3 linked regions of the Oryctolagus cuniculus genome follow. The main gene of each other region encodes a partner of the protein of the gene in region 2 in a complex. Links are inferred from orthologs where the notes say so. Each region holds a gene or a part of one and is shown on either strand. Other genes may lie near its edges.

Region 1 (3,655 bases), on a different chromosome or scaffold from region 2:
GTCTCCCGTGTGGATGGCAGGGGCCCAAGCACTTGGGCTGTCTTCTGCTGCTTTCCCAGGTGCCTGAGCAGGGAGTTGGATTGGAAATAAAGCTGCTGGGACTAAAACCAGCATTCTAATGTGAGATGCCAGCATCTTAGGCAGTGACTTAACCCACTGCACCTCACTGCCAGCCCCTTGATGCTGAAGTTTTTATTAATTTGTTTTATTTGAAACAGCGTGAGAGACAGACACACAGATGTGGATAGATCTCTCATTAGCTGATTCACTCCCCAGAGGCCCAGAACAGCTGGGGCTGGGCCAGGCTGAAGCCAGGAGCTGGGATTTCCATCCAGGCCTCCCATGTGGGATGCAGAGATCTAACTGTCTGGGCTGTCATCTGTGTCCTCGCAGGGTGCAGGTTCGCAGGCAGGTGGAACTGGGAGAGGTGTCTGGACTCCAGCCAGGCATTCTGATGTGGGTGTGGGCATCGCTGTGGACATCTTAACCAGTGCACCAGTGTGGAAGGGAGAGCATGCACCAGCTCACTCTGGAGGACGGAGGAGAGGAGCGCCCCTGCCTCCTCGTCTCTCCACCCTTTGGTGTGCTAGATCACAGCTTACTTTCCTTCACGCCTCTCAGCTCATCGCCACCTCTGTCCAGGCCCCCTGGGAGTGTTGTGCTCCCTTTGCTGAAGCTGCTCCAGGTCTGGATTCACAGTCAGTCAGTCAGTAGCCCTCAAGCACTCCTGAGCACAGTGTGGGTCGTCTCACCTTCCTGCTCAGAACCACGCAGAGCACCTGCCTGCCCACCAAGTCAAGTGCAGCCTTTGTGCAGTGTGCAAACCCTCCAGCCTGCGGCCGTGAATGTGGAGGCTGTGAGAGGACGCTGGGCGCTGGGCTCGGCCTGAAACCCATCCCTTCGTTCTGTTGCCGGCTGTGTGATCTTGGGCTCCCGATGCTGCTGTCTAACCTCAGTTTTATTTTAAACTAGTAATTCCTTTTTTCCATGTAACTTTTTAATTGGCAAATTGAAAATGTGTGTATTTGTAGTGTACAACATGATTTTTTAAAGACTGACTTATCTGAAAGGCAAATAGAGAGAGAGAGGAGTGCACCTGTTGGTTCGCTCCCCGGATGGCTGCAACAGCTGTCTGAAGCCAGGACTGGCCCAGCATCCAGGTCTCCCATATGGGTGCAGGGGCCCAAACACTTGAAACATCCTCTGCTGTCTACCCAGACACATTAACACGGAGCTGGGTCAGAAGTAGAGCAGCCAGGACTCAAACCAGTGCCCGTATGGGATGCTGGTGTCGCAGGTGGCAGTTTAAACCACTGTGCCACAACACTGGCCCCACAACATGATGTTTGATGGTGAAATGAGATCATGAGCTCTTTGCTAAGGTACATTTTACTTCTAGAATCCTCCAGCTCTCTAGTTTGCACTTCTGTCACTTTGTTGGGTGCACTCAGGAGTGCCCTGTGCGCACAAGCCTCGCAGACGGCCCACATTGAGCGCTTATTCCTTCTACTCCCTAGTGCTAGACTGGTCCCTGGCCTTTGACTCTAGGCATTCTTCATCCCTCAAGGCCACCCTCCACACGCCATCTGCCTGTGACCTGCTCCAGGTCTCAGGTGCGTCCCCAACGGGACGTCCTCCTTGGGGCAGGGCTGTGTTTGAATCTTCATAACAGCACCTATGGTGATTTGTGAACCTGCCCCAGCGGGGGGTTGTCGAGTTAAACTGAATCAGAGTCATTTGCCTCGTTATTATTAAACTGAAGTGTATTCTTATAGACATATAATTTTGCAAATGTGCAAAGATAACAAGTTAGTTTAGCCCTTGTTTTAAATGTTAAAATTCAGACTCTGATGCCAGATTACTAAGGCATAGGGACTTCTGGACTTGACGTGTGTAGATAACTTCTTGTTTCATCGCCTCTGTGTTCCCAGCTCTGGTTTGTGCGGCTGGCGCTGCTGGTGAAGCTGGGCCTCTTCCAGAACGCTGAGATGGAGTTCGAGCCCTTTGGAAGTCTGGATCAGCCAGACCTTTACTATGAGTACTACCCCCACGTGTATCCCGGACGGAGGGGTAAGCAGCGGTGCTCACTAGCTGTCGTTTGCATGTTCTTGTTCTGCTCTGCTTTACTTTTACATAATTGGGTATCGGCAGTTTTCCTTATTTAATTAATTCTGAAAACTTGAACAAGTTGCCTGGCACGAAGCCTCCCCACGCAGGGCTGTGAATGCAGTGACGGGGGGTGGGGGGGGACGTCCTGTCAGAGCAGGGTGGTTGGGGTGGGGCTGGGCACAGGTGACGAAGCACCCTCACGTCAGGACCAGACGCCCCGGCACAAGTACAAGCATAGCACCGTCCCCACCACACGGACCACGCCACGTGTGTTCCTGTTTTAAGTCTGGTTATGACCCATAAGGGATTGCAGTCACGACTGCTGCTTGGGGAAGTCCGGATCCTGGCAAAGGGAGGCTCAGGACTGAGCTGAGGAAGGAGAAGCGCAGGCTGTGGACAAGCTCGCTCCCTGGAGGGGTGCGCGAGAGACGGCTCCTGGTTTACAACAAGGACAGGGCTCCTGGGGTGATGTCCCTGTAAGGCAGTGTGGGCACCGTTCCTGGGAGCAGGGTCCAGCCTGGCTCCTCACCCAGCCTCGCAGACTGGGACAGGTTGGTCGTAACCTGTGCCCCAGTGTCACATCCCAGAGAACAGGGCGATCACTCACTTCCTGGGGTGCCTGAGGATGAAGTGTCCTCCATGGAGGTCGCTTAGAATTGCTCAGGACCACACTGGCACAGGGCTGTTCCCGCATTTTGGTTTTTCTTACTTTTACAGATTGGTCAGCAGTACCTGTTAGATTCCAGCACCTTCGTCTTTGTGAAATCAGCGGCTCAGCATTTCTTCTCGGAGGCAGTGGTTAGAAAATGTAGAGCCAGGCTGGGGTAGAGGTGCAGGTGGGGACAGCTCAGGAGGTGTAGACCTGGCGTAGGGGGTGCAGGTGGGGACAGCACAGGTGTAGACCTGGAGTAGGGGGTGCAGGTGGGACAGCTCAGGAGGTGTAGACCTGGCGTAGGGGGTGCAGGTGGGGACAGCACAGGTGTAGACCTGGAGTAGGGGGTGCAGGTGGGACAGCTCAGGAGGTGTAGACCTGGAGTAGGGGGTGCAGGTGGGGACAGCACAGGTGTAGACCTGGAGTAGGGGGTGCAGGTGGGACAGCTCAGGAGGTGTAGACCTGGAGTAGGGGGTGCAGGTGGGGACAGCACAGGTGTAGACCTGGAGTAGGGGGTGCAGGTGGGACAGCTCAGGAGGTGTAGACCTGGAGTAGGGGGTGCAGGTGGGGACAGCACAGGTGTAGACCTGGAGTAGGGGGTGCAGGTGGGGACAGCACAGGTGTAGACCTGGAGTAGGGGGTGCAGGTGGGGACAGCACAGGAGGTGTAGACCTGGAATAGGGGTGCAGGTGGGACAGCTCAGGAGGTGTAGAGAGAGACCTGGTTAGTATTGAAGTAAACTATTGTAGATGATTCAAAAAATTAAAGCAATATTTTTTTTATCCCTGTTGATAGCAGCAGGTATATAGGTGAATTCAAAATGCTAGAAGCGAAAACATTTCTTCAACTTCCTTTTGTGTTTTTTCTTAGAACATTTGCCTATATTGGAGGGGT
Region 2 (3,043 bases):
GCTACTCCATTCACATTTCCTCTTCTGTCACTACCTGTCCTTTTCCGAGGCTTTGATCTTTTATTAACTATGAAGTGATATCAGAAACTAGGCTAACTGAGCACGTGTCCACTTGAAAGTAATTTTTTTTATAACTTACATAGAAAAACTCTCATATTCTCCAAAATATATACCTTTATGTAATTAGATAGGAAAGCAAATGTCAATCCAGGACAAGTTCTAAAAAATTAAATGATTTTTAAAATGAACATAAAAACAACAGAATTAGGGGCAGATGTTTGGCACAGCAATTAAGACACCACTTGGTACCCACCCCCACACCCCATATCAGAGTGCCTGCATTTGAGTCTGGGCTCTACTTACAGTTCTACCTTCCTGATTATGTGTACCATGGGAGGCAACAGATGATGGCTCAACTACTTGGGTCCTTACCACCCACATGAGAGACTTGGATTGAGTTCTGGGCTCCTGGGTTTGGCTTAGCCAGCCTTGGCATTTGGGAAGTAAACCAGTGGATGGAAGATCAATCTCTCTCTTCCCCTTTCAGATTAAAAAAATAAGAAAGTTATTTTAGGAAAAAATACAAGCTAACTCTTTATTTTTCTTCCATAGCCTTTGTTTAGTACCAGTTACCCTTTTACTTTCCAACTGTTCTCAGGCTGATGTAGATGTAATAGTTGATCTTCGGCATAAAACAACAAGGTAAAGATTTCTTTCAGTGAAAAGTTATTTTGTGGCTTTAGCTTTAAAGTAATTTTAGAGCATTTTAATATTGTTTTATTCTATAAATAACTTTGTAATATGGAAAGATAATGTTTACTCCATCATGTCCTGATTTTGTGTGTGGTGTTATGGAAGTGTTACAGAGATATTAAATATTAAAATTTTCATTTCCAATTATAAAATAATACTTAAAAAATTCTAGTGCCATATCTCCATATCTAGTACTCCTAGAGCCAGATGTTTTTTGACATTTAGAAATTTTGGATTTTTAGAAAAATAGTTTGAAGCATATACTGAATATTACTGTCATATATCTTAAACAGGATTTGGAACAGTTCTTTGAAATCCAGATATTTTACAAGTTTATGTATATCTTAGTTAGTGGGTACTGGGTTGGTTTCCATTTTTCAGTCTTACAGTTTCAGTGTTATAAGCACTCTGTACACACATTTATTTTTATATATGAATAACCAAGGGATTAAAAGCTCAGATATGAAATCAGGTTTCATCATTTACTAGATGTGGGAATTAAATATTAACTCACTATTAGCATTATGCTTAAAAATAATTATTATTAATACATGTTGGCTGTTATAATAATAGAACATTGTTATTATTAATAAGTATCTGGCTTCATTAAATAATTCCTAGAAGTAGAATTGTTGAATGGAAGGAATATATTTATGTGACTCTGGGGAAAAAATAATATAGAGGAAGCTCTGTAACTTATTATTTTCCTCCTCTCTTAGTCCAGAAGCATTGGAAATCCATGGATCATTCACATGGCTTGGACAAACACAGTATAAACTTCAGCTTAAAGGCCAGGAGATCCACAGTTTGCAGCTGAAAGCATGCTTTGTTCATACAGGTGTTTATAATCTTGGAACTCCTAGGATATTTGCCAAATTGTCGGACCAAGTTACAGTGTTTGAAACAAGTCAGCAGAACTCCATGCCTGCCCTGATCATCATCAATAATGTGTGACAGCTTGCAAGTTTGTACTGAAATCCACAAGAATCAGTTTAATTTTGCTGAATGGGTTTTACAGCAGTATTTGAAATACCTAACATTATGGAGGTTGGGGTCTGATCACTGCAGAATTCTTTGACTTGCCATTTTGTTGATGATGCAAAGCACATTGGACTGGGAATACTTACGTTCTTTTTTTGTTTGTTTTTGTTTTCATATTTCTTTAAACCCTGGTAATAATTTACATGCTCATAATACAGAATTTCAACATACCCATGTACCTCATTAAGTCCCGTCTTAAAAAGCAGTGTCTAAGTCTACTGTTACAACTTATCAATGGTATACAAATATTAGGAGATGATTTTGAGGAAGGAAAGGCCTTGTTGGCAGTACTCCTGTTAAGCCATTAGTTTATAAATTCCAGCTTTACTGTGAAATTCTATAGAGTGTTAAATACAAATTTTTCCATGTTCACAAAATTCTCTAAAATCTGTTTTGAACTTTGGTTATAGAGTCTTCAAGTTTCAGTATCTGATTGTCCCTATGGCTTATACATAACTTTGTAAAAAGAAAAAAATTTTTTCTGATGCTTTGAATATAGTTTTGAAAGGAGTTTGACTTTTTTCCCCCTCATTCATCTCAGTATAGAGTGCGCTATTTCACAATATGAGATTTTTGTCATTAAAATTATCATATTCTTATTATATAACTTTAACAATTGAGTTGATCTGTTTAAATGATAAATCTACTCAAGTTAATTAAAAATAAGCTTTTCAAAATGTATTATATTTATAACAAATGTACTGTAAATAGAATAAAGACATGCTATTCACTGTATAGATTTATAAGATGCCTTGCCTTTTTTAAAACCTGAATTTCTGAGAACTTAATATATTCTCTATTTAAAATAAGTGGCAACCATATTATTATAGCAGATACCAGCCCAATTTGCTGAGAAAGCTTTATTATCAGAACTGAAAGTATAGTCTTTGTTCTTTTTATTTTTAAAATACTATATTTATTTGAGAGGCAGAGAGAGACAGACAAAGAGCTCTCATTCACTGGTTCATTCTTCAGATGCCTCCAACTGCTAGGCCAGGCAGAGCTGAAGCTGGTTGGGAATTCAGTCACATTTTGTACGTGAATGGCAGGAGCTCAAATTACTTGAGGCATCACTACTCCCTATCAGAATCTGCATTAGCAGGAAGCTGGAGTTGGAAGCTAGAGGTGGATTATCAAACCCAGCTACTTCACAGTGGGACATGAGCACCTTAATCAGCTGCACAACTCCTCCAAGTTTTTGGTCTTAAAAGCTCTTTATGGCCTTGTTTTACATAAGGAAACAAATTTT
Region 3 (3,655 bases), on a different chromosome or scaffold from region 2:
AGAAATTATATCTAGCCCAGTGTAATCTCACAGAGCCATAGATGGTGTGTTAGAAGATAAATGTGCGAGTTTCAGCACTTAATGTGCATTATCTTATTTAATTCTTATAATTATCTATGAAGATAATAAAACCAAGATTTGAAGAGACCATATGACTTTCCCAGAGTCATACCTGTATGCCCAGGATCACACAGCTCATAGGGATGTGTCCAGCTAGGAGTAGAATCCAGATCAACCTAATTGTAACTAAAGGATTCCTACCAACAGAGTGGGTTCTTCTGAAAGATATAATATCCCATTGTCTTCCAAACAGACTCTTTTAGGAAGGAAGTGTATTGCGTTTGTTAAGAGTAGGGCTCCAGGGTCAGATTCTGCCTTTGTCACTTTCTGGCGATGTGACCTGCTTATCTTAAAGTGGCAGTCATTACATTATCTGTTTTTGTTGAGTGGTTATGGATCTTACCACGGGCATGGGGAAGGGGGGTGTTCAAAAAGTTCATGAAAAACAAAACAAACAAAAAAAAAGTTCATCAAAAAGCTGTATATGGATTTCAAAAATACTTTACAACAAACTTAATTTAGCTTTAATTCCATTTTCTACCAACTGTTTTGAAGTACTGTGATGCATACTACATGGATAGTGATTCTAACGACACCTGTGATCATACATTCTTCTTATTTTAGTTATCTTGAGTCAGGGTGTGGTGTAAAGTCCTTGGACAAAAGGAAGACCCAGATTCTAGGCATTACACCACTAGCTTTGTGGCCTTGGGCGAGGTCTTGCATTGCTCTTAGATCTCCTTACTCTTCTGTGAAGTGAGAAGGATGCTTGCCCTCCCACTTCACTAAATCCTGAGGTCATGTCTAAGAAAGTGCTTTGCTGCAGGGATTGTTATAAAACCATAAGACCATTTACTTGAAATAGTGGTCAGGTTTCTCTATAGAGATTGTTACAGATAGCATCTAAGAAAAAGCCTGCTCCTTCCTCACATATAGCTGTGACTATTTATTGATCAGTTATAGATTTGTGTTTTTTGGCCTTCTGTTTTTAAAACTTTATTTGTATGAGAAGATTTAGAAAAGCCATGAAATGCTCCTTTGAATTTCCTTGCAGGATGAAACGGTAACAATAGAAACTGTCTTTCCATTTGACGTCGCAGTGAAATTTGTTTCCACAAAGGTATGCTTCTGTGACATGTATATGTGCTGGAAATCATATGGGTTAAAGAAATTGACTGAAAAGAATAAAATGGGTGACTGATTCCTGACCCACCTTCTGTCTTCGTTTGTGCCAGTTTGAGCACCTGGAAAGGGTCTATGCTGACATCCCCTTTCTGCTGATGACCGACCTCTTAAGTGCCTCGCCCTGGGCCCTCACGATCGTATCCAGTGAGCTGCAGCTGGCTCCTGCCATGACGGCCGTGGATCAACTGGAGTCTCAGCTGGACAAAGGTGAGACCCCGAGTGTGTGCCAGCTTGGGAGCCAGTGCAGTGGCAGGCCTTTTGCTGAGGGAACTTGAGACTTTTACAGGTACTCACAGAAGCATATACATTTAAATTAAGATAGACTTAGTGGCATTTACCATTTGTTTTAGTATACCTTATTTTAAAAGATTAGATGTTTTTCTACTCTAAGGAAGTTATACTTTAAAAATGGACGTGAGGGGGGCCTTGTCCCATATTGGAGTGCCCAAGTTCAAGTCCCAGTTCTGCTTCTGGTTTCAGCTTCCTTCTAATGTGTGTCCTGGGAGGTCGTGGTGATAGCTCAACTGCGTGGGTCCCTTGCCACCCATGTGGGAGAACTGTGTTGAGTTCCAGGCGCTTGGACTTGGCCTGGCCCAGCCCTTGCTGCGAGGGATTTGGGAAGTGAACCAGTGAATGGAACAGCTCTCCCTGAGTCTTTCAAATGAAATGAAAATAAAATTTTTAAATGGAGAAAAAAGTACTTGAAAATAAAATAAGAATATTTTTATATGTGCATTTCTTAAAGGTTGCTGTTTCTTAAATTGATGTAATGTTTACTGTTTATAACTTAAAATGGGAGAACATGATTTTTAGGAAACTGAAAAATATAAAAGAGTACAAGATAAAATTTTCAGGTCACCTAACCAAAGCATCTTCAAAGATGGATTCAAACCCATGATGATGCCTTTCTGGCTCAGTGCACTTTGAGCTGATATGCTTCTTGAGTGTTAGAGTGAATAAAAATTAAATGTTAACTCAAGAAGTAGTATGCTCAGCTGTATTATAGGAATAAATTGTATGAGGGGTGAATTGATATATTCTTAAAACCAAAAATATACAAATTGCTTTATTTTCCTGATTTATTGTCTATCTGCTATTTTATTTCAGTGTTTAAGTATTCAGACTAGTTAATGTACAATACAGACTAAAATTAGATAGGCAGTTATCAGAATTATAGTGTATTTTGGCAATATCTGTCAATAAATAATTAGTAAATATTTATTGAATGCTTCTCTCCAGGGGAGCAGGTGAGATCCTCAAGAAGACATCAAAAAGATCAATTGGTCTCCGTACCCATGTTGATGGGTTTTAGAAAATTTATCTTTTATTTTATTTTATTTTAAAGATTTATTTATTTGAAACATAGAGTTAGAGAGAGGGAGACAGAGACAAAGAGATCTTGTATCTGTTGGTTCACTCTCCAAGTGGCCACAACATCCAGGGCTGTGCCAGGCTAAAGCCAGGAGCTTTGTCTGGGTCTCCCACTTGGGTGCAGGGGCCCAAGCACATGAGCCATCTTCTGCTTTTCCAGGTTATAGCTGGATCAGAAGAGAAGCAGCTGGGAATCGAACCGGCACCCATATGGGATGTCGGCACTGCAGACAGCAGCTTAACCTACTGCACCACAGCACCGGTCCCCATTCTTCATTTTCACAACCAACAGTGTAGCACTTCTATTCAGAAATTAATCCGCTTATTATTAAATATTGTGATCATTTTTAGTTAACTTCTTAGAATTAGGGAGGCAGTTAGTGGAATTTAATATGAGTATTTTAGGGGCCAGTGCTGTGGTGTAATGATAAAGTCGCCACCTGCAGTGCTGGCATCTCCTATGGGCGCCAGTTTGAGTCCTGGCTGCTCCACTTCCGATCCAGGCCTTGGAAAGCAGTGGAAGATGGCCCAAGTCCTTGGGCCCCTGCACCTGTGTGGGAGACCTGGAAGAAGCTCCTGGCTCATTGCACCTGGCTTTGGATCAGCTTAGTTCCAGCCGTTGCAGCCAACTGGGGAGTGAACCAGCAAGTAGAAGACCTCTCTCTCTCTTTCTCTCGCTCTCTCTCTCTGCTTCTGCCTCTCTATAACTCAGCCTTTCAAATAAAAAATAAATCTTTTAAAAAATATGAATAGTTTAGATTTTTTAAAAAAGCAACCTCAAGAAGTTTGAATTCATGCATTTTTTATTAATGGGCTACAATGTATCATTTCTTATTCCTTAAAATTACTTGAAAGTACTGAAATAAAAGTTGACCTTTTTTCCCTTTCACTGCCGATTTCTACTTACAATCAGAATTCCATTAGTCTATTGCAACCTTCACTGGAAAGTAATAACCTAACGTTTAGGGACTTTGTTGTTATTTCATAATTTCACTCAGAGATTTGTTAAACTTAGCATTAGTTAGACACTGTTGCTTGC

What was found.
Region 1: TRAPPC8 (region 2) and TRAPPC12 share a complex: the UniProt entries of both Homo sapiens proteins name them as parts of the multisubunit TRAPP (transport protein particle) complex. The link is inferred for Oryctolagus cuniculus from reciprocal best matches to the Homo sapiens genes TRAPPC8 and TRAPPC12.
Region 3: TRAPPC8 (region 2) and TRAPPC11 share a complex: the UniProt entries of both Homo sapiens proteins name them as parts of the multisubunit TRAPP (transport protein particle) complex. The link is inferred for Oryctolagus cuniculus from reciprocal best matches to the Homo sapiens genes TRAPPC8 and TRAPPC11.

The regions. Positions count from the first base shown.
Region 1 is NC_091433.1:197,957,264-197,960,918, reverse strand, and holds part of TRAPPC12 (trafficking protein particle complex subunit 12), read left to right. Parts: intron 1-1,931; coding exon 1,932-2,070; intron 2,071-3,655. UniProt on the Homo sapiens protein: Component of the TRAPP complex, which is involved in endoplasmic reticulum to Golgi apparatus trafficking at a very early stage.
Region 2 is NC_091441.1:45,792,909-45,795,951, forward strand, and holds the end of TRAPPC8 (trafficking protein particle complex subunit 8), read left to right. Parts: intron 1-612; coding exon 613-702; intron 703-1,472; coding exon 1,473-1,707; 3' UTR 1,708-2,529; downstream 2,530-3,043. UniProt on the Homo sapiens protein: Plays a role in endoplasmic reticulum to Golgi apparatus trafficking at a very early stage. Maintains together with TBC1D14 the cycling pool of ATG9 required for initiation of autophagy. Involved in collagen secretion.
Region 3 is NC_091433.1:65,508,342-65,511,996, forward strand, and holds part of TRAPPC11 (trafficking protein particle complex subunit 11), read left to right. Parts: intron 1-1,114; coding exon 1,115-1,180; intron 1,181-1,295; coding exon 1,296-1,452; intron 1,453-3,655. UniProt on the Homo sapiens protein: Involved in endoplasmic reticulum to Golgi apparatus trafficking at a very early stage.